Linked DNA regions of Nothobranchius furzeri. The protein of the gene in region 1 interacts with the protein of each later gene in a pairwise test. Links are inferred from orthologs where the notes say so. Each region holds a gene or a part of one and is shown in the gene's direction. Other genes may lie near its edges.

Region 1 (16,570 bases):
TCTCATCTCTGGCATGTACGAGGGAGGCCTGAAGGTGTGGGAGTGCACTTATGACCTACTAGAGCTGCTTGAGAAAGACGGAGAGACGATCAGGGGCAAGGCGGTTCTGGATTTGGGCTGCGGAGCTGGACTGTTGGGAATTCTGGCTCTGAAGAGAGGAGCCAGACAGGTCCACTTCCAAGATTATAACAGTACAGTCATCGAGCAGCTGACCCTTCCGAATGTAATGCTAAACTGTCAAGAGGACGAGGATGTGGACTGTGAGGATGACAAAAAAGGGAAGGGAAAAGGGAAGATTCAAGTGAAAGAGGATAGTGAGAAGAAAGGTCAAGAGGGGGTCAACTCTGGCCATCCACCTCCTAAGAAAAGAGCTCTTGACATTTCTCGGCACCAGTTACTCAAGAGATGTTATTTCTTTTCTGGTGACTGGAGGACATTTCTTCCTTTGGTTCTTAAACGAGAACCAAAGCCCAAGTTCGACATAATATTCACCTCAGAGACCATCTACAACACTGCATACTACCCTGCTTTGCACGAGACCCTCCACAAACTGTTAGCACCCGATGGTCTGGTCTACCTCGCCACCAAGTCGCACTACTTTGGTGTCGGCGGTGGGCTACATCTGTTTGAGACATTTGTGGAGCAGAGGGGTGTTTTCTCTCTCTGTCACCTGTGGGATGGTGAAGAAGGCCTTCAGAGACACGTAGTAGCGCTTCGCTTCAAACAGCCCAAAATCTGTTAAACAGGATTGAAATGATTATTCATTAATTACCATATGGAAACGAGGTTTTAATTGTAACCCTAACCCGAGAACAAGGAAAAACGAATAAAAGTCTTTCTGTTTTTGCTCTTTCATCGCCTGCTCAGTCTTTTGCTTCCTTTATAGAAATTTGAATATGTCAGTAACTGAAGTGCTGGTGAAAAGGGGCTGCTGCAGGTCTTTAGATGCACGGGGAGAAAAGAAAGGAAATGGGCTCGGTGACCTTTTCGAGTGTTTTCCCCCCGTGTTCAAACGCCAGCATGAAAGCCAGGCTTGTTTCTGCAGTCCAGCACAAAATGTCAATTGCAACTTATCCCACCAGCCTAAGGATGTCGTTTGAAAGTGGATTCTAGCGCCACTGCACATCAATAGTGGGTTTCTGTGGGGTCTCTGTACCTCTTTTTCAACTGGATATATAATCTAGATGGGACCCTTTTGGAAAGCAAAACGATAGAAGTATATACATCCCATAAACAGGACGGTTTGAGTAGGGAACCACGCTGTTATTTTTTCCGACACCACCTGGAATCCCTGTTCCACCCAGAACAAGGAAGTCCACTGGAATATTCTAGCAGGGATTTTTTTGGAGGAAGAATGCATCAAGTCTGGGCTAGTTCGAGCTGAAGGTTTGCAGATGCAGCAGGACGATGAAATCAGTGGGGGGGGGGGGGGGTTTACAGTCGAAACAATGGAACGGTGTGAAAAAAGCTTTTCGTCATGTTTGACTGTGATTGAATAGCTAACAGACTTTCATTAGACTATTGCTAATATGCAAATATCCACATTACTCAAAACCCATCCCTAAAACGCAAAACCATCATGCTGACTTGATGAAAAACAATATTTAACACCCATCAAACCTCCTCGAGGAAACGTTAAGTCAGCAGCGCAAGCATGACGATGCATTTTCACACCCACGCGTGTGTGTGAACAGATTTTCCATTTTCTTATTATGCAAATATACTTAAGTAATAAACACTGGTTAAACACGCCAAACAGTTTCTGTGTGCACAAACGGCCTAGCAAACTTCCAGCGTATCAGCTCTCATCTAGACAGCTGTTTGTGGCCTGCGGGGGAATTCCTGGTTCCCTGAGTGTACGCAGCCTTTCCCCTGCCTGCTTTATGGGAACAGGGGGCAGGGCAAGTCAGATGGTTTTCCTCAGAAACTATTATGTGTTGATTCACTGCGAGGGGGCGTGCTTTTCACTCCCACTGCTTCCTTCTTACTGGGAAGTGACAGTCAGGCTTACCGTATAGAGGGAGTGTGTAAAAAAAACTGGGGAGGCTTTAATAAATAAGCTTGTTTGCTCTGAATGTCAGACATTCTGCCACATCCTTCCTTACGGTTTGGAGGAGCCGAACGTGCAGTTGAAGTGGGAAGAGATATAGGAAAATGCTCTGAGATGACTTTCTGTTGACAAAGTGGCTGCTGGGCTGCGATGGACTGGCTCTCTGTCCAGGGTGTACCCCGCCTGATTGCCCATTGACCGCTGGAGATAGGCACCAGCCCCCCCGCGACCCTACGTGGACAAAAGCGGGTTCAGACAGTGGATGAATGGAAAGTGGTTGCTGAGGTGTGTTTTAGGGTGGGGAATATCTGCCTTTTATTGCAGGGTCCGACAGATCCTGGATCTGGAAATACAAATCTTCAGTGACAGACTCAGGTAAGTGGTTCAAATAGCACTTTTTTCTTTTGCAGTTCCTGACCATGAAAAATTAGGTGTCTATTAAAGACTTTATATAGCCTTTGAGTCTGAGTTAATACCTCCTTAGGATATTTCTTGTCCTGTAAGAAGACTGGTCCAGGCTGCAGAACCGGTTGTTTCCCAGTCCAACTGACAGAAAGATATGAGTTTCCTGGATGTGTTCAGGTGTGGCCTTCCTTAGAAAGTTCATTGTACCGAACTGTTCTCCAACAGAGCACCGGCTTTAACAAGTAAACCAAAGTCTTCCAAGATAACATTGACTAATTATCTCAGTCGCTGTAAATATCGACTCCAGACCTTGGATGAGATGTTTTTATTTCTCTCTTTTTTTTTCTTTTTTTTTTTTGTACTGACTGGAGGGAATCTGTGCAATGTAGTACAGTCCAGAGTAATATCCAACTTTTGTTTATTAGGCTTAATAACACATTTACCACCTGTATGTATGTAATCACACCCTATCAGGAGGTAAAGATAATACTTTATGCGTTTCCTTGAACAGAGAGCTTGGTGGATAGACTTTCATTTTAATAGATGCAATTTTTTTTAAGTTTGGATAAAAAAAAAATAAAATAAATAAAAAATCAGAGGTTGTCCAAATCTAAAAATGGTGAGTCACAACTCATTATTTCTACTTTTTTCTGTAATCCAGATTACTAGAGGTTGCTGTAAATGCCACTGTTGATTAATAACTGTTGGAGATCAGGTTTAGTCACCAGTTCGGTGGTCTCTTGCTCAATTTTACACTGGAAAAGCAGAGCTGACTTTATCGTCTCATCATGTTGGGTTTCTTGAGAAATGGGGTGACTTCACACCATGTTCAGCATGTTTCGTCCAATATTTTACACTCTCTTTCCGTCTAAACGTTAACTTTTGCTGTAACTGCAAATTTGAATCTTATGTATGGGTTAAACACTTTCTCTTCAATCCAACAGGGTAACAGCTGGTCTACCGATGCTGATGTCATTCAAGATGCATCTGGAGATGTCAATTTGTTACGTTCCCTGCTGTGAGAACTGAATTCCATAGATGGTGGCATTTTCAGGTGTCATCTATGGGCTCAGTTCTTTTGGCGTGGTTCTGGTTTATCAAATGGGTCAGCACCGGGCAGCAGTGGTCGAGACCGTGTAAAAGCAGAAACACATGAATTTTCTGCTTTCCTAGAGTAACGATTCGTCTAAATCATAAAAAAGTCACTTTCTGATGTTTTCATTCTAAATTATTGTTTGGATTAAATTAAGTATAACTGAAATGTTGATTTGTTGTAGCAACTTTAACACTAACTAAGCATTTGATCAGATGTGCAAAGTGTAGCTGAATGTAAGACCCATGTAATGAAGAAGAGAGATGATGGGCTGCTGCTCTGTGCCCTTCCTGATGCTCACTGACAGTTTTTTAGAGCCAGCTGTGACAAAATGTGCGGTAATGGGTGGAATATGTGATTTAACTGTATTTTAGAAATATGAAAAAGCTTTGACTAAGTGTCTGAGAGGGTTCATTTCCCCAAGTTTAAAAGAAAAAATGCATGAATGTCACTCATTCTGAAACACATGGAATTTCTTTGTTGTTCATTTGAACCCAAAAGCCATCAAATATGAAACAGATGATATCAACTTGATGCTCATAACATCCATCGGAATCATCACAATCATAGGTCGGCCACGTCACAATATCAAAGCTGAGCTTTTCAGAGTGACGAGTCTGTACGTATATTTTCTGTTCTTAATCTATTGCCTGAAAGTTTCCCTACAGTTTTTACTCACGCCCTCAGTAATAGTTGGGTTCTCTGTAAACCTGAGAATCCTCCTGTTCCCAGGCCATAATGATCAAAATTCAAATTTTTTTTCTTTCACTGTGATCCACGACAGTTTTTAAAATTACTTCTGTTTTTGTACCAGAACAATATAGTTATTATATAGTTGAGCCACAGTGGAAACTTTGTAAAATATGTAAACTACATTAAAATGCACCAAAAATATAAATGTGAAGAAACGTCACATTAATACTGTGTTTTTTTCACAATACTGTCTACAGAACTTTGTAAAATAGATTAGCCTATACACAATAATGATTTAGGAAACAGATATAGATGTACATGAATATAGAAGTGATTTTATTATCACTGTTGTGACCCGGAATGTCATCTGTATGTTTATATGATGTTCATTTAATTTTTTGTATGTAACTGTCTTGATGTTATAAAATAAAACAACTAATAAAGAACAAATTATCATGCAGTTGTCTTCATTGAGTTCTGGACAATAATTAAGTAAAACCCCAAGCTTATTTATAGTTCCATGCTATATGGAGCAGATATTTAGGCGTTGTTGTTTAATGCAATTCAACAAATGCCCAGCTTTATGGTTGTGGTAGTTTTTTTAAATGGTGGTTTTGCCAAATGTATATCAGTGAGTGCAGCCGGCCTTCATGACACATTCACTTCAGTTTTATATTTGATTTAGTTATTTAAGTATTGTGATGATTTGTTGGTTACAAAGCACAAAGAAATGTGAAGAGAACAAGTTCTTAAAAAGACTACATGAACCCAAACAAAACCAGACATGCAATTGTTTGAGTTTACTATTTATAAGGAATGAGTCATAGTTTTAGAAAAAAACAGCCCATTAATGCTGTTCACAAAAGTTTTACTTCCTGGCATAACCTTGTGAAACATAGTTTTATATTAGTTTAGTTATATATTTCTTAAAATCTAAGCTGTAACATTAGTTCATTTATTTATTTATTTTAGTCTTTTGAAATTTCATCTCAGACGTTTCAATGGAAAACACTTTGCTGCGTATTTTAACACCATATGTTTTCAAAAATGAAACTCTAAAATTATGTTATCATCTGCCCCCTGAGAAACTTCTGAATTATGAGGACCCAACCCTGAACATATACCCGCCTTCTTACAACCACTCAGCCAATCACAGTCATGTTTAAATCCATATTTCATTGTCATTGGCTAACAACACCATTCACTCAATGACGTTTACACCGGCCCAACCAATAGTTGAACAATTGAATGCTCCCTTTTCTCTATTTTGTGTACCAGGACGAGCAACAGGCTCCAACAACGTTTTAGCACAGTAATCTATTTCTGGTTACACAATTCGTTTGTGAAGCATTCATGTAGGTGAACAAGTTAACTAAACGGATTATACGTTGTTTCTTTATAGAAAAAAGTGACTTGTTCGAGGCCCTGGCATGGATGAAGTACGGCCTACCAGTGGTGCCCCAGCCCACGGGCTGGTGCCGCTGTTTCCTCCGGGACTACAGGCTATCTATGGAGAATGTCGGCGACTTTACCCCGAGCAGGCCAACCCTCTGCAAGTTACTGCCATTGTTAAGTATTGGTATGTAACATGTTTTGTTTTTGCTGGTATAATTATGCCTGCGTGAAGTTTGTGAATGCGTTTATTTAGCTTTAGCTAAATGCTAGCCTTCAGTTAGCTTAGCCTACGTGCTAACGTAAACAGTTTTGCTAACTTTCTAAACGATCGTGTGGCCAAAAAAAACTGCTCACGCTATATGTGTCCCTTACAAAACACGATACAAGCACAGCAATATTCAAAAGACAACCTAATAAAATAATACGTATACAGAAAATTTGACGTTATAATTCTTAACTGATTTATTGTCAAATATTCAGTATCTTATAATTCTACAGTAATACTTTTAGCATGGTGTTTGAAGAATAAACCTATCTAGGATAATATGTAGATTTCACCTGAACTCTACATGAAGTATTACACTTTAATCCCCAGAATCTCCGGAAAGAGGAAAATTGGGGTGAGGCAACCTATAACGTTGTTTTTTCAGTATAAAACAAGAAAATATGAAATGCAATCTTCATTATCACATTAGACTGTTTTAAATAGGATTTGATATTTGCTCAGTAGTTGTGCTGAGGGTAGAGGTCTTATTCTTAACCCATTTATGATGGAAACTCATATTTAAGCAGTTTTTAAAATGTTGCCAGGGACATTTAATAGATCAAAGAAAGCAAATATTTTATATTTCCATTCCTAGAAGTACAATTCAATTCAAAAATACTTTATTAATCCCAGAGGGAAATTGATTGCTGTAGTAGCTCAGAATAATAATAATAATCAAGTCATCAAAGAGTTGTTGTATATTACAATGGCTGTTGGCAGGAAGGATCTCCACTAGTGATTACTGTTGCAGAGAAACTGAAGAAGCCTCTGACTGAAGACACTCTTCCGTTGTCGGACAGTCTTGTGAAGAGAATGCTCAGGGTTGTCCATAATTTTCTTGATTCTCTGGAGAATCCTTCTTTGCATTATCTCCTCCAGTGGTTCCGAAACTGCAGAAACTCTGGCTGAGTCGTTGAAAGGACCTCCATCTTGTTGGCCAGTGATCTCACATTGCCCATTATGATCAATGGAAGAGATGGTTTGAATTTCCTCTTTCTCCGTTTCCGTTTTGCTCCCGCTCTGCACCCACGCTTCTTGCGTTTTAGCTCATTTGGGATTTGTGGCTTCAGTTGAGGTATTATTTCAGCCTTTCCAATGTTAATCAGCTGCTCCCGATTGTAAACTAGCTTGTTGCCATGGTTACACATCATAACAAATGCTCAAAAAGGGAAAAAAGCTATAAAAAAACGAAGGCTTGAATAATATTATATGTTGTGATGATGATGTTATGATTTAAACAATATTTTCAATAAACTTTAGATGCTTCAGCTAACATCTGTTATCCAGTATCAAACAAGTCAAGCAAGAACTAAATATGAAAACAAAAACTAGCAAGTAATTTTACGCCCCACATGCTAACTAAGTGCTCTATGACTGATGGTTTGCATTTTGCTCTTTTAACAGGCTTGGTGGACCAGACCCTTTAGACTACATCAGCATGTACAGGAACATGGGCTGTCCAGCCCAGGACGTCCAGGAGCATTGGCACTATGTTAGCTTTGGCCTGAGTGACCTTTATGGAGACAATCGTGTTCACGAGTGAGTGAAGGAAAAGTTTTATTATTTTCTAATATGACAAGCCACTTTGTGTAAAAAATATGTAAATTTCTAGTTAATTTAGTTAAAAAGTGGGGTGTCACCAGTCAGTCGGATAAATATTTGCACTATACACCTTTTACAGTGAAACCTTCAACACCACATGCAAAAACCACTGATCTTACTGGCTCATGCTCAGTGTTGCCTCACCGTTCTTGCAGATTTACTGGAGCAGATGGACCCAGTGGGTTTGGGTTTGAGCTCACTTTTAGACTCAAAAGAGAGGCGGGAGAGACGGCACCTCCAACGTGGCCAGCTGAACTCATGCAAGGCTTGGCTCGCTATGTGTTCCAGTCAGGTAAGATTAAATGGTCATCTTTTAGCAAATCTGCAGTGATTGACCTTGGAGAAAAAAATTTGTTTTTTTATTTATTTATTTTTGCCTTTTTTCTTTTTGATTAACTTTTAATGTTCAAGAATTGTTTTTATTCAGTCATGCATCCTCTAGGATAACTGAGAGTGTTGATCGATTCAGCCACAGTTTATAGATCATCTACTGCATGTTTGTGTTTTGCCACCACAGCAGGATGTTGTAAATTTAAAGGTCATGCTTTTTGTGCATGCTGCTTGCAGTTACAGTATTTTGACATCATAGCTGAATAGAAGTCAAGGCAGTTTCATTTGTATAGCACATTTCATGCACAGTGGCAATTTAATGTGCATTCCAATAGGGAGAACATTAAAATTTAAGATTTTTATTTAAAAGTTTCTAGAGTTGGGGCACATTTGAGGTCACAAAGAAGCTGGGTCCATCTGTTTGCAGCATAGTAGCTAAAAGCAGCTTCACCCTGTTTGGTTCTGACCCACAGTTCTACAAGCTGACTGTTTCCTAAGGATCTCAGAGCTCTGCTGGGCGTATAGGGAGCCTAAGTCACTTCCGCATCATGGTTCCCCGGAAGAACAAAAAAATGAATGCAAGTCAACAGGGCTAAAAACGCTATTTTCTAATCCGCTTTGCGTTACGCCCTGGATTGCACATATGTTGTACTGCAATTTAAATGAAAAGTAATGATGGGTGTTTCGACAACGCCAGTCACGTATTTTGAGATTTATCAGCTTGTCAAAATTCGTAATTAGCATGACCTCAAACTAGAAATCGGCACGTCGCATATGTGACATCACCACATAATCTCCTCTCCACAAAGTAGCTGCTACTTACCAAATGACCAGATTTATGGTGGTTCTTTCGTCCTGTGGGAAGTTCGCTGAACTTACAGCCATTTTCCCTCAGTTTCCTCCGTGTCTGGTTCGATGACGTCACTTTCGTGAAGCACATCTGTAGTCCCGGACTTATTTTCACACAAAACCTAAAATATCATTACCCCCCCCCCCCCCCCCCCCAAAAAAAAAAAGCGTGTTCTTGGTATCAAAATGTGTCTTTAAAATTCACTGACATCATATGTGAAATCCATAGCACATAACCAGCGGAATTAGCAAATTGCGTTTTTAGCCCCGTTGACTTGCGTTCATTTTTTCGTTCTTCCATGATGCGGAAGTGACTTAGGCTCCCTATATACAGGAAGGAGATCGACATGTATTTTGGCCCCATGCCATTGAGTGATTTATAAACTAGTAGAAGCACTTTGAAATTGATTCAGAAGTTTGAAGAGTATGCTGAAGGATGGAGTTGTTTGTATTTAAAGAAACCTCTTTTATTGTGTTTTAATATATTTTAAAAATAATTAACTCTGTAAAAATTAGGGCTGTAGCGAAACCTAGATGACGTCGACGGCTCGATTCTAAAAATTTGTCAATGTCAGATCCGGTAGTCGACGTACCACGTCCACTTGTTGCATCCACAGGAGTTTGTAAATAGAGGTGGAATTTGCTTGTTTTTCCTCTAGTTTGCCCTCTTCTCCACCTTCACTAACATCTCCACCAAATAAGACCCGGAACAATGTCTGTCCGCTACTAGATTCCTTTCCCGTTTTGCCCACCTTCGTCTCCCGGCAACGGACAACAACTTCCGGGGTCAGATGCGCTGCTCCGTCTCAATCGCAGATGTAGAAAATCACCGGGAGCGTTTGTATGTTTATTCTCTTACAGCGGGGTATACAAATACTATTTAAAAAGGTCCAGTCAGAAAGAATTTTTTTAGCCCAAGGTCCGAAAGATCATTATGTCCGACCTACAATAGTGTGACATGTATTTAAGTATCCTAGCAGTTTTATCAACATCTGCATTATTAATTTGCATATCAAATCAGAAATACTTCAGTGTAATTCAAATACTTATGACATTTATTGTCACTTAAAGTGTTGAACATGTAAATGATTTCTTTGGAATGTTCTCTCATTTACTAAATAAAAGTAGAAAAAAGTGTCAACAAGAAAATAACACATGGCAACTGAATCTTCACAAACTACTAACTTCAGAATAAATGTAGAAAAAGCTTAATTTTTTTACATTTTTCCTCTTCACGTGCGAACTAAAAAGTCTTAAAATGATTTTAAAAAATGTGACTTTGCACACATGTAATAACTGAACATATATTTAGGTTAATGTTTTCCACATTTTTACTTAGTGAGAGAAGTGAGCTCTTGCTTGTCCTGCCAACATTTTGAACCTGGGCTTGAATGGAGACAGAGCCATCCTCATGCATGTGTGGAGATGCTCATTGGTGAGCCTGGAACGATATTTGTTTTTTATAATGTTCATTGTGGAGAACGCTGCCTCACAGTTGTGGGTGGAACCAAACATGGTCAGGATGTACAAGGCTACTTTCTTTAGATGTGAGAAAGCTGTCTCAGGAACCATTTGGAGCCAGAATGAGGACGGGTCAGTCCTGGCAGACAGTTCTTTCATGGCCAAGTTTGCTTGGAGGTCAACTAACTCCATCTGAAGATCCCTGGCATTGACCCATTTAAAATGCTGTGTGGCTTCCTTTGAGAAGCTCCTGACATCTGTGATGAGGAATGGGTTCTGAATGAACATGGTGAGCTGCTGGCCAATGCTGAAGCTATCAAAACGATTGCTGAAGTTAGCAATAAGTTTATCAATGAAGACAACAAACGACGAGACATCTCGCTGTCCCTGAACCTGTTCCTGCACTGCTGGGAAGTGGACACAGTCTTCCTGCAAGTCCTCCTTGAACATTTCAAGTTTTCTCTGAAAGGCACGGACAGCTGTCATTAGTTCACAAATGGAATTGTCCTTGCCCTGTAGCCTCAAGTTCAGTTCGTTTAGATGTGAAGTTATATCAACCAAAAAGGCAACATTGTCCATCTGCTTCTCATTTTATAGAAATGTAGACAACTGTGTTGCCTTATGATGTTTTAGCTCTGCCAAAAAAGATGCTACTTCCCTCCTGATGGCCCAAAAGCGTGCTAAAACTCTGCCTTTGCTGAGCCATCTCACATTGTTGGGCAGCAGAAGATCATCAGCATTGGCATCAACTTCTTTGAGGAATTCTCTAAGCATGCGATGCTGGTAGGAAGAGGACGCTCTAAGAAAGTTGATCATTTTCATCACTGAAGTCATCACCTCAGCATGCTCATCTTGACAGGGAGGCACAGAGGACAGATTGATGAATAATGCAATGGTAGGTTAAGAGGTCAGGGTTGTCTTTCTTCATTCTTGTTACAGCTCCCTTTTCTCTCCCTATCATAGCAGGGGCTCCATCTGTAGTTATTGAAATCACTTTTGAAGGCTCAATTCCTCTCTTTGCCAACATCTCCATAATGGCCAGGTAGATGTCCTCTCCTGTTGTGCTGGTCTGAAGAGGAGTAATACCCAGCAGGTCTTCATAGAATGCTTTCTGCTCTGCGTAATAAAACCTCACATAAACCAACAGCTGAGCATTATCACACACGTCAGTGGACTCATCCACAGCCAAACCTACACATGGTGCCTTCTGTATGGCTTCATCTAGCTGGGCTACAACATCCTGAGTCAGTATTTCACTTTTCTTTGTAGCAGATGATGCTGATATGGGGATTTGCTTTATTTTTTCACAAACTTCTTGTTTTTCTTTTCCTTCAAACAGTGTTTCATCAACTGCTGTCATACACTCTTTGACAACCTCTCCATCAGTAAATGGTTTTTTGTGCTGACCCAAAATCCAAGAAACTCTGAGGGAACTCTCATGGGCTCGTTGCTGAGCAGTGAACGTGTGGCTCAGGATCCTGGTGGACTGTTCATATTGGGCTTTGAGACTACGTATTTTCTCTGATCTTACTTCTGATCTGAGGGGATATGTTTCTTCAAAACATTTGTGTTTTGTCTCATAATGGCGTTTCACATTGCCACTTTTAATAAGTGCCACTGTTTCTGAACATATGAGACAAACAGGTTTTGTGCCACCAGTGGGAAGAACAAAGACAAATGACTCTGTCCATTCTGGATTAAATGCTCTATTTTCGCTGTCCACTTTCCGTTTTTTAGAGGCTGCCATTTCTGCTTTCTCTACTTCTCTCCGTCTCACCCGCCTGAATCTCTCCTTGTCGCCTGTCGCCGCTTTCCTTTTCTCTAACTGAATTCCTCCTCCTTTACACCTGAATCTCTCCTTGTCGCTGCTCTTAGCCTGAATGTCTCCTTCTTTCCACCGCTCTCCGCCTGAATCTCTCGTTTTCTCTGTTCGAATTTCTGCTCTTCGCTGCTCTCCTTCTCTCCGGCGTCTGAACCGTTTATTTTCGCTACGTATCGCCTGTATTTTCTGGCAGGAATAAAACATGTTATTGGCTTGTTGGTGTCACGTGGTCTGACTAAACTCGCGCACAATTGGCCTGTGGGTGTTCGTGGATGCTAGAATACTACCGTAAAGAATGCAATAGCTGCACCGGCCAGAAGCGGTTATAAAATTAGGCGAACTTTATTTTGGCATTAGGCTCGGGTCCACACCAGACAGCATTTCGGTCCGGATCCGGACCCAGGTCCGCCTATTAGTGATCTCTGTCTTACAGTAACAATTTATCAATTTTTCTGAGGAATTTATTAGAGATTTTTTAGGTTTTTATTAACTGTGCAATAGAAAAATAATCATTAGATTAATTGTCTAAATAGTCATTAGAATAGTCGACTATTCGATAAAATAATCATCAGAAAAATCGTTTTAAAAATAATCGTTTACCCCCAGCCCTAGTCAAAACACATGTTGACTTTATGTAAATCTTCTGGTTAGTAAATAACGTAGTAAATAGAAATGTGGTTAACCAGGGAGGGGTTATTGATAAAGCCTCAAAGCAAAAGCAGAAGGCCGTTCGCTCCATTTTCGAGGTGTGTGTGTGTGTGTGTGTGTGTGTGTGTGTGTGTGTGTGTGTGTGTGTGTGTGTGTGTGTGTGTGTGTGTGTGTGTGTGTGTGTGTGTGTGTGTGTGTGTGTGTGTGTGTGTGTGTGTGTGTGTGTGTGTGTGTGTGTGTGTGTGTGTGTGCGCACGTGCGCTTGTCTTTATATGTTTAAGTGGAAAGTTTGACTTTAACCTGTAGTATGTGGACATTTCCAAATTGTGGGGACATTTTCCTTGACCAAATGAACGCCGACTCTTTTATCTTTGTCTGGACTGGGTGCTCAGTCACGACCTCCCAAGTAGTTTCTTTTGCTTTCTGTTCTACATCTGGAGCTCGGTATCATCCCTTTTCCTGTTACTGTAACTCTTCTTCAGCATTTCTGTGCAGTCATACAGTGAAACAAAGGAAAGTGGCACTGCTTTCTACTTGTGGCTAAAGGCAATGAGCCAGTGGTGCTTGACATGTGTTCGTGTTTTGTGTTGTAGAGAGAAGAGGCAGCATCATTTTAAATGAGTGAAATAAATGGCCTTTTCTTTTTTTACTGTCTTCTGCAGAAAACACATTTTGTAGTGGTGACCACGTGTCATGGCACAGTCCGCTGGACAACAGTGAGTCTCGTATCCAACACATGTTGTTAACAGAAGACCCACAGATGCAGCCAGTTCACACTCCCTTTGGCACAGTGAGCTTTCTTCAGGTGAGTTCACATATGGGATGGAAACCAGGACACATTTCCTTAATTTCTTTCCACAAAGTCAGATCTTATAACTGTTTTAAAGAGTGAATTTAAATCAAAGCTGGACAGAGGCAGAACGTGACGGTCCTGCCAGTGTCGGCAAAACCTTCCCTTTGTTAAAGAAGAAGAGGAAATAAAACGAGAGGAAACATCAAGTCCAATCTGTGTGTGTTTGATTTTTCTCAGTTGCATACAAGTTCTGTTGCTTAAAGGTGCATTATGTAGAAATGAAGTAAAAATGATATCCTGTGGTAAAATTGGGTTACTGCAACCACTTTAAACAACTGGAGCTTTTTGCCGGCCATCATCGAATAACAATTGTCGGCGCTGCAGCATTAGCTCACAGGAGACACGGCAACCCCACACTCACAGATGATAAATAGTAGTTACCAATATGTCCCTCCTTCCTTTGTTTTGAAAGAAGAAAAACTTACAATTCCCACTTATTTGGTATGTACTGTACTGTTTGATGGTGTTACAAGTGGTATTGCTGCTTTATAAGGATGTATTCAAATACACCGAAAAACAGACTGACCTTTAAGTTTTGGATCATCTGACGGCTGATTAAGGCACTCATGTAGATTATGGACAGATTCTGATTCTCTGATTTTTATTTTTTACTTTTTGTTTATTTTTTTGGTGCAAATCTCATCTAAGCATATTAAATAGATTAAACAGTCAATTTTCAATAAGATTTCTCTTTATTATTGTTGACAACTAATTTTCTTGTAATTTCTTGGAGTTTTTTTTCCTAGATGTTAGCTAAATAAGTAAAAGGACCTTTTGCTCTCACTTGCTAGGCTAGGCTGAAGGTGTGGATATGAACAGCAGGGTACTTTCAGGTCTAAAGTTTGTATGAAGTGTATTTTTACTAAAATAGATTGTAGAGATGTTATGAAGTCCTCTCCACTCTGTGTGCAGATTGTGGGTGTGTGTACCGAGGAGCTGCAGGCGGCCCAACAGTGGAATGGCCAGGGAATCCTGGAGCTGATGCGTGGAATCGGAGTGTGAGTAAAACTCTGTAAACAGGGTTTTTAGGTTCATTTATAAACAGTGTTTTGGGTTTTAAAGTGGCAAATATACACTGTACTTGTTGCTTTTATGGAGAAGATTGCATTTTACTTCCACCAAAACTAGTCAACACAGGAAATAAGAAAGTGTATCGACTTAAAAAAAAATACATGTGAGGTTAAAGTCAGTCGGTTAGAGAGAAATCACCAAGTTCAACCTCTCAGAGCTTCATTTACATCACTCTATCCATCTGTGATCATTAGAAAAATCACTCGTTAGTGTAAATAATTATTTGTAAAAATGTCTTCTGTCCAAAAAGGGGGGACAGGGCATTGAAGCTGAACATGAGGTTACCTGCCTGAATTAATTAGCTGTGTTTCTGTAGCAGTTTGTAGTGATAGTCTCCATACGTTGGATCAAAAAACGTTTCCTGTTTCTTTGGGTGAGTCTGACCTGCTGTTGGGCATCAAACGGTAAAGTGGGCGTGGGTGGTAATTGATCCCTACTGCTTTTCTTAAGTCTGGCAGATCCCACTGTTAGATAAATCAGTGAAACTATCAACAGTATCATTTGTTGAAACGGTAAAGAGTAAAAAAAAAAACACTTTAAAACCAGGACATGTCTACTTTTCATTTAGCGAATAATTACATAAGACCTTTTGCCCTTTTTCCATAAACAAGTTGAGACACTGATATAAACGTTCCTGAGCCGAGTGGAGCAGAAGAAAGAACATGGAAGAAGAGTTCTGCTTTAGTAGAAGGTGTTTAAATTCCATCTCCATGAGTATGTTGTGAACAGAGAGTAAGGTGTTTGGTTATTTGTTCACTTATTAACTTTTTGTGTTTGGCGACAAGTTAATACTAATGGTGTGTGTGTGTGTGTGTGTGTGTGTGTGTGTGTGTGTGTGTGTGTGTGTGTGTGTGTGTGTGTGTGTGTGTGTGTGTGTGTGTGTGTGTGTGTGTGTGTGTGTGTGTGTGTGTGTGTGTGTGTGTGTGTGTGTGTGTGTGTGTGTGTGTGTGTGTGTGTGTGTGTGTGTGTGTGTGTGTGTGTGTGTGTGCGTGCGTGCGTGCGTGCGTGCGTGCGTGCGTGCGTGTGTACAGAGCTGGCGGCCCTTGGCTAATCACAGACATGAGGCGAGGAGAGACTATTTTTGAAATTGATCCACACCTACAAGTAAGGCTTTATTAAATTCAGCTCCTACATTTATTTTCATATTGTTTTTGGGTTTTGATTCATATAACATTCATAAGTTCACGGAAGCCACTAACGGCACATGAAGGTCAAAATGTTTAGAATAATTGGACCTGTTTTCACTTTTGGAACTTCTTGGAAATGTTCCCGAACCTCCGTGGCGTGCATATGTCTCCATATAACCCGGCTGAGCTGAAAAGAGTTTTCAGGTCTTATCACGAACCGACCAAGTACCTGTACAGGGGTAGATACTCAGAAACATCCCAATAGAGTCACTGTGCGGGACTTGTGGTTAACTCGTGCTGATTGGTTGTAACTCAGTGGTAAATGGCATCAGCAGACGTCGGCCAAACAACCGTTAGTTGTTGAGTTGCTAGTGAACAGTGTTGGGAACGTTACTTTAAAAAAGTAATTAGTTATAGTTACTAATTACTTGGTCAAAAAAGTAACTCGTGTACTTACCGAGTTACAAGATTATAAAAGTAACTAATTACAAGAAAACTAACTACTTAGTTACTTTTTTCATTAAAGAATGCAAGAAAAATGGGTTCCCCTCTTAATTAAACTTACTTAATTTACTAAAAATTACTATAATAGTGAAATATAAATGACTAATGACTGGAACATAATAAAATGAATGTCCAAATGTTTTTTTATAAACCTGAATAATTTAAATAAATAAGCACTTAACAGGAGGAACTACTGACAGGAGCATTACACTTATCTAGACTATTAAAAGGTCACTGTGTGATATTTAACAAGACCCCAATCTGCTAAAATTTAAAATTGCAAATAGAAACACCTGTTTCCCGAGCCTTTAAATGGTCTCTCAGTCTAGTTAAATTACAGAAATGAATGTAATTTTGCACAGCATTTTAATTTTTCCAGCTTCACATAATTGTGTGTTTTAG
Region 2 (16,486 bases), on another chromosome or scaffold:
CCGCCACTCGGTCAACGCTCTGTCTCATCTTTTCTGTGCAAAACAAAGATAATATATGTCCCTCGCACTGACCCTCCTTGTTAGAAAGACAGCAGAGGATAATCAGAAGAGGACAAATGATGTGCTGCAGACCCCCTGCTGGGTGACATTTGACCTCCTGCGTACGAAGGACGCGGCAGCCTGTCTACCTGATGACTCTGATGCTGTGGAAATGTAGGTTGTGCACTTGGCGTGTGTCTCAACACTTTAGTCAACTGGAGATTTTTTTTTGCCCCTTTAAAAATAAATATACGGTACGTGGGCGTGTTCTGTTGAAGAAATGTCAGTAAAGTCCTTCTGTCTATTCGTCACTAATGGTGTGGAGCAGTGGGAGGCTAGGACACCTGCATCTGCTGCTTGATAATGAATATGATGAAGATGGATAATACTTTAGCCCTGTCTGGATCAACGCTCTCAGCGAGAGAGTGATTACCACAGTAATTGGCATCTATGGCGCCTGCCGCTGGAGATCGTTATGATGAGTCTGTCAATAAGATTTACTGAATTCATCCTGAGACAAGAGTTCAAATACAACCAGCGTGACTTTTTACACAGATGCCTGCAACTTTCTTTTTCTGTCTGTTTTAATGTCAGGCCTTCACAGCTCCAGGGCTCTTCAGATTAACAACGTATCTAATCTGATGGATTTCAGCAAGAAATGATGAAACCAAAGCAACAGGTCCTATGGTAGCTTGAGCAGTTGGGATAATATTTGATATTTTGCTAGAAATGAAATATTAGCTATTCTCCAACTGTCAGGGTGTTGGGTTTTCTTGTCATTACGTAGCATTTTTCAGTGTAATGCTAGTCACAAGTCACAGTTCAGTTCATGTTTCAGTTTTGGGTTCATGGTTTCATTTAACAAGAAAGAGAAACAAATGCAAACATCTATGTATTTGTTTCATTGAAATTTGGCCCATTTAGCTTTCTATACACCCATTTCTCATTGCATTGCTCACTGCTACAGATCATCCAACTGCTTGGTGTCTCAAAAGTCACCCAAACTAACCATATTTGGTTTTAGGGCGTTTTGATTTAGATAATAAAGTTCTGTACCCGCTCCTCCTCCACATCGAGAGGAGCCAGTTGAGGTGGCTCGGGCGTTAGTTAGGATGCCTCCTTGATGAGGTTTTCTGGGCACATCCAACCAGGAGGAGACCTAAAAGAAGACCCTGGACACGTTAGGCTACTGCCCCTGCGGTCCGACCCCGGATTAGAGGCCAAAAATGGATGGATGGATGGATGGATGGTTCTGTACCCTGTCATGTCAGTTAGAAAATAGTTTTTTTAAAGGGGAGTTGATATGAAAAACTCACCTTTTGCAATGTTTTGTGCTGCTATGTGGCTCTATGAACATTCTAAATGAGGAAAAAATATCAGACTGTTTTATTTTAGTGTTTGTGATGGAAAAATGGAGAAATTTGAATAGAACCAAAAACAGTGGCTGCTGCAGGAGCAGTGGCTCCTCTACAAGCCCCTCCCAGGTATCAGAGCTTCTTGGCTTATAGCGGCAAATGAGAGATGGGTAGGCATGGCCAGCAGCTTATTATCATAAAGTGGCAGAGTCCTGAAATGGCTCATTCTGGAAGGTACTGAAAATATCAAGAGTAAAACTGCTGAAATCAGACATGAGAGGGATTTAGTGAAAAAACCTTCATGAACATGAACTTGTATCGACCACTGGGCTATTATAAAAAAGTCAAAATATGTCCCCTTTAAATAAAAGAAAGGCTAATTTGTTTACATAGCACATTCCCTGCCTACACATTGGCCAGTCAACGAATAGAAATAACTGAAAACACAAAACAGGATATTTTAAAATCAAGTTTAAAAAGCAGAAACATGTATGTAAATATAAAGCAAGCACACTGTTCTGGTAGAGACCAGGGATTAACTCAGCTTACACATTTTTGGTCTCCAATGACAGTTCAGTTACACCACCTGTGCGCAAAGCAAATGTTTATATTTTGACATTTGGGTGTTTGTTCCTACATTCATGATTATTTAGTCATGTTTCTGTAGTTATGTTTCCATGTAGATTCATTATTGTCCTTGTCACTCAGCCTCTCACACCTGTTCCTCATCCATTTATGAACTCAGCTGCAAACACTTTGCAGTCGCCTCTTCCCTTCACATATATTCTCTGGTTTTTCTAGCTTGTTGCCAGGTCCACCAGTTATTGCCACTGTTGTGTTGCCATTTCCCTGAGACCCTCCCATGCTTCAGCCTTTGTCGATTTTCTTTATCAATCAAACTAAATTCACATTACCTCTCTGCCTCTAAGTCTGCAATATGGGACTCCAACAAATTATCATAGTATAAAAGATAAGTTTTCTATGACCTCAGGTTTAGGGGTGCAGTAGGGCTCAGGGAAAACCTTGAGTTTGAAATGTTTACAATGAATTTTGTCTTAAATTTTCATTGTTTTAAAGTGACAGTGTGTATTTTCCCAGGCGATAGGGGCAGTACATATCTAAATCATTGTAAGCAAGCAGTATTTTTTGTGTTCAAGTAAGACCTTACCAACAGATGGCCATTAGGGTCAAAAATCCCTGGGAACAAACCCTCCAACAAAATGACAAGCACATCAGACTCCCTTTCATCACTGGCAAAGAGCGATGAGGTAAATGTGTAAAACAACAATGGTTATGAATGGTTAAAGTTTTGTAACCGTTTGTTGCAAATCAGTAAATGCGTTTTGTCCTCACCGGCTCCCGTAGAAGAAAACATGGCATCTATTATGGCTTCACCTAGAGACTTAGAGCCACTTGCATGTATTTTACACTTGATTTTTATGGTTAGATGTTACAACGCTGCCGATATTTTTCTACTGGGCATCATTTCACTCATTTTCAACAACATTCAGATGGATATTTCCAGAGATTAACTGTAAAAATGACACATTGACACTTTGAAGCTAAAATCAAGTTTGATTGAAAAAGTTTTGTAAATGATTGTCTTCACTTGTTGCAAAAACTGTGTACAATGAGTATTGTCCAACATCAAAAGCCCTGCTAAGGAGGCCAGCCTTCATGCTTCACTATTTCTAGTTTGAAATATTTCAAAAGGATATTTATGAAGATCCCAGGGTGGTCATTACCAAGTTGCACCACTTTCTCCTTGTTGCGGTTTTCAGGGATTCCCACGGGGATGCCGGGCATCCTCTAGGTAGTGTCCTGCTGCAGAGTGGACGCAGCGACCAAGGAAGGGGGTTGCTGTTAATGACCATCTGCTCCGAGAGCAACCTCTTTAATGAAGACGGATGTTGGGAGGATCTGACTGGGGGGCTACAGGCAGGAGTCTAATGACACATTCTTCTCCGTCTGGAACATCTAGGTTGTCTTACATGATCTGACAGCTCTCATCGTCACACTGCACCTAATCAATCCAAACAAAATCCCTGAGCGGAACATAAGCCCCACAACCCTTTGCAAAACTATGTATCCCCAGAAGCAACATGCAAGACTAATCATACATTATTTTTATTTTGATCTGTGTTTTATGCTGTCCAATCACTGATGGAAACCTTTGGAGGTGATGTCAATTGGGCAGCTTTGGAGCGAATCCTCTGATTGTGTTCCAGCCTTCGGGCCTCGCTGTCCTTGATGCAATTCCAGAGGCGCGGCGTGAATAATATCAAAACGTGAACGAAGGAGCTTGCAGCACACTCACCCTTAGGCTTCATCCTGAGTGCGTGCTCAAATTATAACAAGCCTGTGGCATACCAGCAGATCTAAACATGCACGCTGTGGCGTCAGCACTCTTTTATTGGAGTCATCCTGTTGAAAAATACAGTAGAAAGGGACAGGAGACAGAGCCTGGAGGACAGGATGTAAACGTCTGGGCTCCCCGCTGTCCCCTCTTTGATTTTATCGTTCTCCGTTGAGATTATAAGCGACTCGGATTGATGAATTGAGTTGGAGCCAATCTCTCTCACACTCATCTTCATCTGGATGTTGGTACTGACGGTATAGAGGAAGATGGATGGACGTGGGACTTCTTCCCTCTGTATTTCATGTACAGATGATGAGCTGTGAATCAAAGGTCACATTATTTAGAACCCTCCAGGTTTGTACGTCTCACAAAACGTCAATTTTAGACCGCGAAGAGCAAAACAACATGAGTGATTTTGTTGTTTGTGAGACTTTTAATTCACTCTGGTCTATTGTGCAACTCTCGAACGTCCCAAGCATGAATATGCGAGGCGCTGCAGGCTAATGGGAGTCGTTACGATGAGGGATGGTACCAATAAATTGATATCTCCTACACTTACTGCAACAACCGCTCCCTACTTCTGCAGTTAAAAGGATTGACTCAGCCTTCGCTAACCTTGTGTTTAACTTGAAATGTCATTAGCAAATCAAAAGTAGATTAATTAATCACAGGTTCACTGTGGTGTGCATTAATGTAAGTGACCACTGTAATATAACTTAAAGAGAAATCACCCTTGATTTCTCATCTTGACACCACTTTGAATGCGTCGCTGCTTCCAGGATGGCTGAAGCTGTCAGGGAGAAAATGGATTCTATAAGTGGGGGAAGAGTCTGCTTCAGCATTAATTCTGCTACAAATGGAGCTGTTCGTTACTGGTCCACACCTACGTCTAAATTTATCTTGTCTTTTTTGTTGGCGATCCTGTTATCTTTTCTTCACAAATCCTTAAATGCGTTCTTCAACCTGTTGTTGCTCCGAGCATTGATGCATGACTCAGTAAAGAAGCTATTTCGGTTGTTCTGTCTCCAGCTCAGATGCTTCAACATCCTATTACTTTGTGACATTTAGAAAGGTGCAGAGGCTCGCTTAGATGAAGAAAAAAAAAGAGACTCCTTAAAGACAAGAAGCATTTGCTTTAATTATGTAAACAAGTGGCAGTCTTATATGTACAAACCTCCAAACCTCATTCTTTGACATCTAGAGAAGGTCTTTGTTCTTATTCTTTTTTTTTTTCTACATCATGAAATGTTCAGTGGCACCGTGCTGCCAAGAAAACAGCAGTGCCAAGCCATTAGTGTACTAACAGTGATCCCTGCTGGTGAGAGAGGGAACAGAGTGATCATGGTGAATTCAATTCAGGATGAAAGCAACGACCAGTGATCAAGCTAACTCTGCAGGAGGCAGTTGGGAAATATTTAGCAGTACTTTAATGTTGATTTCAACAAACATTTTTGTTTTCATTTAAAGTGCTGTTAAAAAGAAAATTCATGATTTCTGATGTTGTTGATTCATCAGACAAAGATAACTTAAGTAAATACAAAATGTTCTTTTTTAAATGCCATTTTGTTACTTCAGGATATAAAATGTCTCACTTGTTACATCATGAGTCAGCTGAGATTAACCACAATATATGGAAAGCTGTGTTCAGATTAAACAATAGTAAAGAGCTGGGGGACAAATATGACAACTATGAAGGGTTGTTGGGACAAAACGTTTGCTGATCAAAACAACACTGAGGTTAAAAACATCTTAATGATCTTCAAGACTTCTGCTTTCCCTTTACGTCTGATGTGACACTAGGAAGAACTTTACACTAACAGTCGAGCATGGTGGCGGTAGTGTGATGGTCTGAGGATGCTTTGATGCTTCAGGTACTGTAACTTGCTGTGATGGTGAATCCTTGAATTCTGTTTTCTACCAGAAAATCCTGACCTTTGACCTTAAAATAGTCATTCATGCTAGAGAACCCTCCAGTGTCGCTTAAACAAAGACTCTGTCATAACAAATGCTTTATTGTAGTTTTACAACCATTTAGCACGTTTAAGGCTCGAATACATGTTTTTGTTTTTTTACTTTGAGGTTTGGATGACCTTTATAAGGAAATCATCACATGAACATTTGCTTTTTTGAATTCCCTCAGGTTATCGTTGTCTGATTACTTTGTTGATCTGAAACATTTAAATGTGTCAAATAAGCAAAAACAGAATACATTTGGATGGGGCCAAATACTTTTTACAGCTCTGCAGTTAAACTAAAACAATACAACACATAGCAAAATCCCTGTGCCCAGTATTATGTCCCTGCTGTGATTATGCCTGTATGCTCATTTCTCCAGTAGCCAGATACCTCTCAGGAAAAATGATTGGCTTTATTTTTATATCCTCTGACAAACTTAAAGTTCACTTCTAGTACAGATTGTTGAGGCACAGGCTCTGCAAAACCGTCCCTGTCTGTAAACATTCTGGTTTCCATGCCATCCTGGAGCATCATCCACAGACAAACACTTCAGCAACAAATAAAAAAGGATCCAAACAATGGGAGGTGTGGAGTGTTGGAGGGGGAGGAAGAGGGGAAACAGGTGGAGGAGCAGATGAGGGTAAGGGTAATTTACAAATCCATTTTCCAAAAACAAACTGGGACTGCTTGATGGCAACAAAATGGGAAAAACAAGAGTAATTGTGAATTTTAATCAGCTTATTGTGATTCAATAAACAATGTCATTGTCCTATACAAAAAAGGATTTTCATGGTTTGTCATCGTTGAAATTTTCAGTGCAGCCGTTTCTCTACTAGGACACCAGCTTTATCTCTGGTAGCTTCAAGTAACCACTGATTGTTTGTTTTTTTAAGCCAGAGCTTTAACATTTATCTCAGTGATTATTGGGTAGAAACTTGACCAGTTTTATATTTGACACCACCCTGCAGCCCTCTGCTGACCAAAAACCGCACTGGATAGTTTTTTGGAGCGGGTAGGTTTTTCTAGGGGGGGCGCTCTTTACCTGCACAAATCTCAAAACGTGAACGAAGCTGTTAGCTGTAATGCTATTGGTTAGCATTTTCGGTCCACCAATCGTCAATAAGAAATTTGTTTTTCCTGTTGGCATCATGGCGGAGCCTGGAAATAAAAGTAAGAGAGTGATGTCTTTGAAGCAAAAAGCTAAAACCTGAATGAACATCAGCGCTGCCTACACTAGTTTGAGGGAACTAAAGGAGGCTAAAAAAAACACGGACTGATGGTGACCTGGCTTTGTTGCAAATGGACTTGGAAGTAATAATATGTTTAAAATTATAAAATAAATAATATTATATCACTTTACTTTGTGGTTTATTTAAGTCTTAGTTGGTTCATGTTAATGTTAGTTTGTTGTTAGTGCTAGCTACAACAGTGTGCTGCAGGGATGTTTATGACAGTTGTAATTCCACTTTCAACCAGTAAGGCAGGAACAGTGTTACTTTAAAGCTGGACTCTGAAATATTACACTGTGTAATAAAATACAGGATCATTAAAAGTTTTTTTAATATAAATAAGTTACATTTAGGGGAAAAATTGCAGATCCAGTTTTAATACTTGATCAAATGAAGCGTGGTGTAATCCACCTGTGCAGGTGTAATGTGGGTTACATCATCTAGACTCTGGTTCTTCCTGGTTGTTTTTGTTAATAATCAAAACCCACAAGAAGAAACTTGTTGGACTAAAAGTCCAACTAAAGGTCAAGAACATGAATCTGACATCACTAAACTTCGTTTTTTCTTTTGTTCTTTGTAGAACAACATCTGTGTTGATGTCTCGCAGAGAGTTATAATTGGCCTCAGTGTTAAAAAAAATCCAGGTGTGGGATGGATTATTTCTCTTTTTATCAGATGCTGCTCATCTGACTGTACAATTTGTATGCCATGCTCAGGGACTGGACAAAAAAGGAAAGAAAGATTGTTAGAAGACTATCAGCAAACCTGAAGAACTATTGATCATAACCACTCTAAACGATTACAAGAAATGTGACTTCTTGAAAGCGATCTATAAAAATTGTTGGTGTTTTAAAAGGTTTTTACAAAACTGAGATGTCAGCAAATCAATTTAATGCCACTGCACACTTCATCGAACATGTCAAAGTTCAGTTTGTGCTCCCTGTGTCACGTTGCGGGTGTAGGAGTGTATGGACCATGTGTGGTGGCGCAGATCAGGAGGTAAAGATGCAGGCTTCAGATAAAGTAAAATGGTTTTAATGGTGGAATGGGAACGAACAGCACAAGACAACGATGACAAACAACCACAATGATCTGACAAAGACTGATACAAGGAGGGAGGTGTAAATACACAGGGCAAATGAGGAGCACATGGGCAGGTAAACAAGGGGCAGGTCAAAACAATAAAGACTAATCAAGGGCAGGAGAGAGACACAGTCAGGGAGGCAGGGGCAGACCGTGACACCCTGTTAATTATGAAACATCTTTTGTCATCTCGCTAATTTAACACACCAGATTTTAAATTATAATTCAATTGTTTGGTGGGGTTTTTTTTCTGACTGAACGTTTAATTTTTTTTTCTCTCCACAGAATCGCTGCTGTCGCTCTTTACTAAAATCACACCATCTTACACTGAATCAGGCCACTTTATTAGGTACCCCTATTGCTCACTAAAACAAATTGCTAACTGGATCCATGGCAGTAAGTCAATGCTTTGACGCATCCAGACATGAGGACGACACTTTCAAGTTCAAGCGCCAAACATCAGAATGAAGTGAAAACGGGGACGAAGGTGACTTTCAACATGGTGCTGGGTCTCACAGCTGTAAAGATGCAAAATAAGTGAGTCAACAATTCGAAAAGCATTCCTAAAACTGGACAAAAAGAGAGTGGGAAGTCTTGATTCAGCTGCAGCATTCCGTAGTTATTTCATCCCCTCTGCAGTAAGAGTGTTTAACTCCTCAGTTTACCTGGTACTGGCATTATCCTGTTACACAATAACATCAATGCAATGCAATTTTCATAGGTGTTCAACATTGTGTACTGCATAAATGTTAACGTAGATGTAAATTAGAATGCCTGTGCCCCTTATGCTGCATAGTTCTGAAAACCCAAGTTCTATTTTTATTCGTTGATTTTAGTGGTTGAAGGTGACAATAATAACTCATTGCCTTTGGTGAATGTTCTGCTGTAGCAGGTTTCCCCACTGGGATTAATAAATTCTATTCTATTCTATTCTATTCAGATGGTTGGGTCAGAATTGGGTGTTATCAAAATGAAAGCATGGATCCATCTTGCCTTGTATCAACACTTCAGGCTGCTGCCGGTGTTGTCATGGTGTGGGGGAGATGTTTCGTGCCCCCTTTGGACCCTTTAGTACCACCTGAGCATGGTTTAGACACCACAGCCTACCTGAATATTGTTGCATGGGTGTAGAACTGATAAATCTGCTGCACCTGTGTGATGCCTTTATGGAGCAATTCGATTGTTCAACAAATAATTAAAGCTGTTCTGTAGCAAAACGGGGTTTAGTCCTAAGAAAATTTATACTTGCATTTTATATATTAATATTTAGCATCTCAGACATTTTTTATGACTTTATGTTTTATTTTTGTTTTGATCTATGTGAAGCACTTTGTAATTCTATGTCTGAGATAAGTGCTATATAAATAAAATTTTCTTACTTACTTACGTTTTAATGTTTATGTCAAATGCATCTCCAACTTTGATTGAGATTCTAATTTATTTTTGCAGTTTGTAAAGGATTCAATTTGCTGAAGTAAATTATTATTATCATTATTATTCATAGTAGTAGTAATAATAATAATAATAATAATGTTGTTGTTGTTGTTGTTGGTTTTCTTTGTATTGAGTGGGAAAATCTGGTTGTGTTCATGCAAAATTTTGAAAGAATTATATTTAATTCATTATTATTTTCAGGTAAACACTTGCGTGCCAACAGTTCTAGTCGCATGAGTCGCGCGCTCACTTACTGTAAAGTCACGCGCACAAACGCACACAGCTGGAAACGGCGCGTGACCGGTAAACTCGCAAAAGCATCCTTAATAATTTACTCGTAAGCTGCACTTGGTTTTGAATGATGTAATTCTCAAGCAGCCGTGCCAAGGGCGAAAGTGTAACCGGGAAGAAGGGCGACCAAAAAAAAAGTTCCTGAATGAGAGAGCAGGGAAGCTGGGGAGCGGAGAGCCGCCTGCTCTCAGACTTGTACCAAAGTTTCAACAACTCTATGTTAAAGTCGCAGCTCCGATGTGATGTGGAAACGGTAAAAGGTGAGTTCACGCGCCATGGACGAAGTGAAACTGGCGTTTTTTTTTTTAATTTTTATTTGTTTGCTGTTAACGTTTAGTGGTTAAACTGAGCAGATAGTTGGCATCCTGATAATTATGATCCCATAAAATTATTTAACATTTAAAATTTACCTTATATTATAGTTAAGACAATGTATTCAGAAAAAATAGATAGATAGATACCAATAGATAGATAGATAGATAGATAGATAGATAGATAGATAGATAGATAGATAGATAGATAGATAGATAGATAGATAGTGGTCCTGAAGCTGCACTGCAGCACCAGATCATCACAGTACCACCACCATGTTTGGCTGCAGCTATGTTCTTTTTCTGAAATAAGGAGCCCAAGTCATGGCCAGCTTCTTCCGGTTAATTCTATTGTCAAAAATGATAAAAGTTTGATATGTGCCATGGATTTTAACATATGATGTCCGTGTATTTTTAAAGACATGTTTTGATGCAAAGGAAGTGAAGTGCTCGTTTTTGATAGTCGGCAAAAATTATTTCAGGTTTTATGTGAAAAATTGACTTCTGATTTGTAGTCACTTTAATTACGGACCTTTACAAGCTAATAAATCTCAAATAACATGAAAGACGTTGTCGAAACACAACTTTAAACTATACTTTTATTTATCTAGCACCTTACAGACATAGAATATGCCACCAAGGTGCTGTACAGACATAATAAAACTGATAAAACAACATAAAAGAAGCACAAAAACACAATAAGACAAATAAAATGAGAACGGGAGAAAGCTAACAACACAGAGCTAACACAGAGGTAAAAGCCAGATCATCCCTGATCAACAGAAGATGCTTGTTTCTTTGGATCCGACACTGAGAAGGCCCTATCCCCACTCATCCTCAAACGAGACCTTGGTAGAAACAAACAGATTTATTTATCGTTTTAATTGAAGCACAACTTGCGTGTGATTCAAGCAAAGCAGACCTGAAAATAACTATTTTAGCCTTATTCACTTACATGAGCCGACCTGAAAGGGAGGAGTTAGGCTCCCCACACAGAGTTAGGTTTAGCCCAAGTGTACAGGGAATGAAACAGTATTGGGGATGGTTTTCTGGGGGCAAATGTGAGACAGGCCTTTGAGTTCTCCAACTATCTTTGTCTGATATTAACATATGTTTGCTGATTTAAGAAAAATTAAGCCATTTGGCTCATGTTTGTTCCTTAACACTTAATATCATAAGTAATTTTGTATTTAATAAGGTTATATTTGTTTGTTGAACTGAAACAGTGATGTGTGACATAAAGGAATATACTTGATAAATCTGTCAAGGGTTTCTAGTTGGAATTTTCCCGATGCCTAATTATGGTCTGTTTATCTTTTTCTAGGTGTTTACCTTGGATTCAGTTTCTTTTCACAGCAAACTTTGAAAACACAATAACCCTGCCGCTCACTCATGAGCACATACCCCCTGAGGAATTTACTTCAACCATGAGTGGAAAGGGCTGCCAGCTCCTAGTGTCTCCTTGCAATATGTCCCCATCACTAAGTATCATTAGAGGACACCAGTCCCAATCCATCAGGATGCCCGTGTCTTCTCCTCAACAAGCCAGACTTTACTCATCCACAGGGAGGACAGAGAAAGTGAAAAGAGGAACTGACCAAACTTTTACATCAGGGAAACAAAGCGGAGGCCCTGTTGTCCTGCCTGCCCTGAGCTTCCGGGGACAGGTGTTGAACAACAGACAACATCCAAATGAGTCCACTACAACACAGATGCAACAACCTGCTCAGCATTCCCTAAAAACAACAGCAACCACTGCCAAACCAAGAAGACACAGCTCCTCCATCCACAGCTTTACAGGTAAAGGCATCACCCAGGAAAAGTTAAGAAAATCCAGCAGAACCAGTTGTTAGGAGGAAACCGAAGCTCTGCTCTAACAGCCGTTTGAATTACACGTTAACGTAGTCACTCATTCATTGAAAGCACATTTCACCCAAAAGAAATCAGAAGTTAAAGTAATTTACTATGATCTCACTTCACTGTCATCTTGCTAAACCATTTATTTTGTTTACAGATAGTTTATCAGGCATAAAATCCGAACCTAAAAGTTCTACAGTCATGTGGTGGGAGGTGAAAACCGTGTAAATGATTAACGGAGCAGAGTATCTCGGCTCTGTTTAGGTTAATGAGGAAAATGAATCCACCATCCAGTTTGTAAGCTTTGCGTTTGAGTTAGTTCTGTTTTAAATGTGGATAAAAGCTTTTGTTCTGCTTTCACTTGTATATTTTTTTTACTAAATAATTGGCTTGTGTCCAGCAGATTCTGCAGCGCCTGGGTCCGATGGGGGTGTATGCAGTGAGGCAGCTGGTGCTAGCCAAACGCTGACCTGTAGTTTTCTGTCAGGCCAGCAATACCCCGCGGTGCCTCAGCTCCCATCGTATCATAGCATGCCGGTTCCGAACACCGATGCCAGGTGAGCACCGTCAGTGGGTCCATGTGATGGTGCGCTTGCAAAAAGTTCCTGAAAATAAAATAAAAATGATCTCTTTCAGGTCATTACTGTCCAGAGAGTCCCTGGCATCAACTACCCTCAGCCTGTTTGAAACACAGTCAGTGTTTAGTGGCAAACATGACTGGCCATATGGTTACCGTGTGCTTCCTCCCCTGGGAGTAACTCAGAGCTCTACCCAGGCCAATGAGGGTGGCGAACAGTTCAGCCTGTCTCCTGGAACTGCCATGTCGGGCACGACCGTATCGGGTGGCACAAGCACCTCTGCCTCCCTTCCCTCGTACCTATTTGCAGCTGAGGCTGGAAGCCCCCAACAATCTCGTGCAAAGAAGAGAGCCCTCTCCACGTCGCCTTTGTCTGATGTCATGGGTATTGATTTCAATGCCATCATACGCACCTCGCCAACCTCCCTTGTGGCCTATGTCAATGGTTCCCGCAGCTCTCCATCCTCCCACTGCACTCTCTCACCAGTTCAGTCTGAAGGATATGGTCACTTCTTGGGGGTGAGAGGTCGCTGTATACCCCAGAACCATCCCTGCAGCATAGCCAGCTTCTCACAAGCCTTGGCCCCACAGTCAGAGTGTGGCCGTTTGCAGATGCTTGAAGAGGGACTGGGTCTGGAAGGCCAGATGGCAAACATGATGGTGGAGCAGCAGTGCCTTCCAGACAAAGGAGGGATCCTGGAGACGACTTCAGGCAGCTGCAGCCAAACTTTCAACAACATTCTCCCACCTCTAATGTTAGAGCCAACGCTGTTGGACACTATACAAGAGGCTGCTACTCCACAAGGACCACCACCACCGTACCACTCACACCAACACATAAAAATCTCCAAACATCCCTTCAAAATTAAGGCTTCTTCTCAGAACCCTGTCTCAGGCCCCATGCTTCCACACAGGCACGGAGTTGGGTTTTTACCCCAGATTCCGATGCTGGAGGAGGAGGAAGGTGAGGTGGAGGACTATGGCACCCATTGCTGCAGGTGGTTGGACTGCAGCACGGTTTGTGACCAAAAGGAGGAGCTGGTAAGGCACATAGAGAAGGTGCACGTGGACCAGCAAAAGGCTGAGGATTTCACGTGCTACTGGGTGGGATGTCCACGCAAACTCAAGCCATTCAACGCCCGATACAAACTTCTTATCCACATGAGGGTTCATTCAGGAGAGAAACCCAACAAATGCTCGGTACAACTTGCACACAAGTCTCTTTTAGTCCTTCCTTCTGAATTCAGAAGCTTGCTCTCTAAGTTCTTTTGTACGTCCGTTCTGTGTTTAACTTTATAATCCATTACTTTGTTCTTTTTTTACACAGTTTAGTAAAAAATTATTTTTCAACCTGACATGTTTCGACTAATGGCTCTGGTCATCATCAGAGATCGCCGGTGTTGGTGGCGTCACTTCCGTTCATCTGCGGACAGCAGAGGACGATGTCGCCCTCTACTGCCCGCAAGAAGCCCACAAGAAGCATAAAGTACAATAAAGAAAACAGCCGTAACCGACCACTGCACAAAGGAAAACCATTCAGTGGACTGGGACAGTACACGGATCATAAACACAGAACAACAAAAATACAAAAGATGGATCAAAGAAGTGATAGAAATATGGAGACTTACACACAAAACCATGAACAGAGACGATGGAGTATTCACATTGGACCACGCATGAGACAGTGCCATCAGCAAGGAGGACATTGACATCGTCCTCTGCTGTCTGCGGATAAATGGAAGGAACGCTACTAACACCGGCGATCTCTGATGATGACTAGAGGCGTCAGTTGAAACATGTCAGGTAAAAAACTAATTTTTTTACTAAACCGCACAAAAAAAAGAACAAAGTAATGGGTTGCTGTCTAAGTTTTTCTGTCTTGAGTTTCTTTCCTCCAAATGCAAATATAGCAAAAGTCCCTTTCACTCTGATGACATTTTTTCTACTTGAAAGTGAAATGGACGACTAAATGCCTTCAAAGCAGACGCATGATGAATGGTGGAGCTAAGTTTGAATTGGTTTGTGCCATTCAAGGCCACAGTATCGAGATGAAGAGTTTAATACCGCAGGCAGCCAAAAGAACAGCCTTTGTCAGGGTAAACGCCTTCATGTGCAATGAGATTTAGCCAAGGTTTGGATCAAATATGGCCTCCCTCTCTTTTTAACTTAAGCCATGGTGCAATTAGCAGAGCTCTGTGACAACTGGCATGAGAATTACCTCAATGATATAGTTGTTAAATAAGCACAAAAAGGGGTCTAGCACTTTGTATTTGGCATGGCACAATGATCCTTTAGTAGCTGTTGGAGCTGTCAGCAGCCACGGCTTCACCAAGTCTGAAAAACTTGGCTGTAGTTCTAGAAAGGTGATGCCACAGTAATCTAGTACTTTACTGTTTACCTTTTTTGGCCTGGAGGATGGATTTTATTCAGGATGCCAAACTGCTCTTTCTCAAAAGATTTGTTACTATCTTTTAATGCTTATTACGACTGTGCTTATGTGCAACCTTGGAGCTAGAGATTGGGGAAAATGCATCCTTTGAAATAAATAAAAATTAAAAGCCACCACATGTGCTCAAGAAAATAAGGTAAATTACTTCCTTCTTTTATGGTTTCTGAAAAAATATTTTAAAGGCCGCTGTTGTTTTTGTTTACAAACCTCTGATGCTTAACTTGTTGGGAGTTTCTTGGAAAAGTTTTCTTCCAGTCACTCGTCTATGAAGATCACAGTTTTGAAAGTTATTCCATTGCACACCACTTCTCTAGACTTTCCTAAATCTTCCTGAAGGAGTTTGGTTTTGCAGCCAGGGGTGTGTAATTCTTAAAGGAATTCTCCCTGAAGGATTTGTTGGTCATCCACATCCTAATGTGACTTCCATTACTTCAAAATCTACAGAGTAAACATAAACTAAAATTTTTTTACAGCCTTCTGATGTTTTGTGGGCACAATTGATCTGTTGCATGGCCACTTATTCACTCAAAGGACGTTGGAACCTTTCAGAGTTATTTTACAGTCTTTCAGATCAGTGACGTAGAAGTCGGTCTAGCATTTATTGAGTGGTTTGATCAAACCTCTCTTACGGATGGGTTCAGGGTTAGAAGAAACAGAATCTGCACTATAACGTTTTTATTGATCACATAGTTTTCTTTCTGTTCCTTGTTGCCTCTGAGGAAGCATGTGAGACTTGGCTGAGTAATTAACAAACACACTCCATGTTGGTGCTTTCACCGAGATAATTATTAACTTCATGCATACCTGCAGTCGACCTTCTGCTCCAAAATACTCACTTATTACCTGAAGCCAGCTCTGTTGCCATGGTGCTGTATCGTTCTCTGGATTCATCTGACAGTGGAAGATTTAAGGGAACAACTAGAAACAAGAAGTAAAACTCATACTTATTGTTCTTTTTAGAAATATTTAGAGTAATAAAAAAAACTTGAACAATATTCTTATTACGCTTTCATTTTTATATATATTTATTTAACTCAAGATTAGCCAAATTCCAGGGTTCTGGACTTTTTTCTCTCTTTACTCAAACAGTTTTAATTCAGTTGAATAAGATTGAGGATGAGTTATAAACTCAAAGGTAAAAAAATGGATGAGTGGGTGGAAACAGAAAATGTAAAAGCCGTTTTTCCTCTCTTGTTACACGCTGAACATAAGGGACAGGTCCAGACTTGTCTCTATATGTCTCCATATCACACTTCATAAATTTGGATACAGCACACCATTTGTGTGCAACTGCAATTTATACATTAAAGAGCAAGCTCACTGAGAAACCACAAATTCTTTTTTTAAATGAAGAGTCACTCTGAGTTTAACATGCAGGCTGAATGTGAAAATAGTCTTCTACCCCTATTTCCTGCTTTAGCTTCTGACAGAAAAGAGAAGGAAAATGCTAGGTTCAGAAAAGCCTGACAGATCTACGTCATGCTGTCAATTAACATTCATGGACACAGCCATCTTGGCTCGCAACAAGGAAGGCTGCTGTTGGTAT

Evidence for each region.
Region 2: the proteins of sufu (region 1) and glis3 interact in binary tests that used the Homo sapiens proteins (3 or more experiments, as listed by UniProt). The link is inferred for Nothobranchius furzeri from reciprocal best matches to the Homo sapiens genes SUFU and GLIS3.

Annotation. Positions count from the first base shown.
Region 1 is NC_091752.1:22,189,440-22,206,009, reverse strand, and holds the start of sufu (suppressor of fused homolog), read left to right. Parts: upstream 1-5,472; 5' UTR 5,473-5,553; exon of another isoform or gene 5,554-5,643; 5' UTR 5,644-5,671; coding exon 5,672-5,820; intron 5,821-6,780; exon of another isoform or gene 6,781-6,880; intron 6,881-7,305; coding exon 7,306-7,440; intron 7,441-7,658; coding exon 7,659-7,795; intron 7,796-10,940; exon of another isoform or gene 10,941-10,990; coding exon of another isoform or gene 10,991-11,924; intron 11,925-11,990; coding exon of another isoform or gene 11,991-12,169; exon of another isoform or gene 12,170-12,370; intron 12,371-13,275; coding exon 13,276-13,418; intron 13,419-14,378; coding exon 14,379-14,464; intron 14,465-15,568; coding exon 15,569-15,641; intron 15,642-16,570. Other genes in the region: mettl18 (histidine protein methyltransferase 1 homolog), read left to right, coding at 1-742; SCAN domain-containing protein 3-like, read right to left, coding at 10,991-11,924, 11,991-12,169. UniProt on the Homo sapiens protein: Negative regulator in the hedgehog/smoothened signaling pathway. Down-regulates GLI1-mediated transactivation of target genes. Down-regulates GLI2-mediated transactivation of target genes. Part of a corepressor complex that acts on DNA-bound GLI1.
Region 2 is NC_091746.1:53,232,788-53,249,273, forward strand, and holds the start of glis3 (zinc finger protein GLIS3), read left to right. Parts: upstream 1-9,489; 5' UTR 9,490-10,006; intron 10,007-11,381; 5' UTR 11,382-11,484; coding exon 11,485-11,857; intron 11,858-12,317; coding exon 12,318-12,471; intron 12,472-12,550; coding exon 12,551-13,691; intron 13,692-16,486. UniProt on the Homo sapiens protein: Acts both as a repressor and an activator of transcription. Binds to the consensus sequence 5'-GACCACCCAC-3'.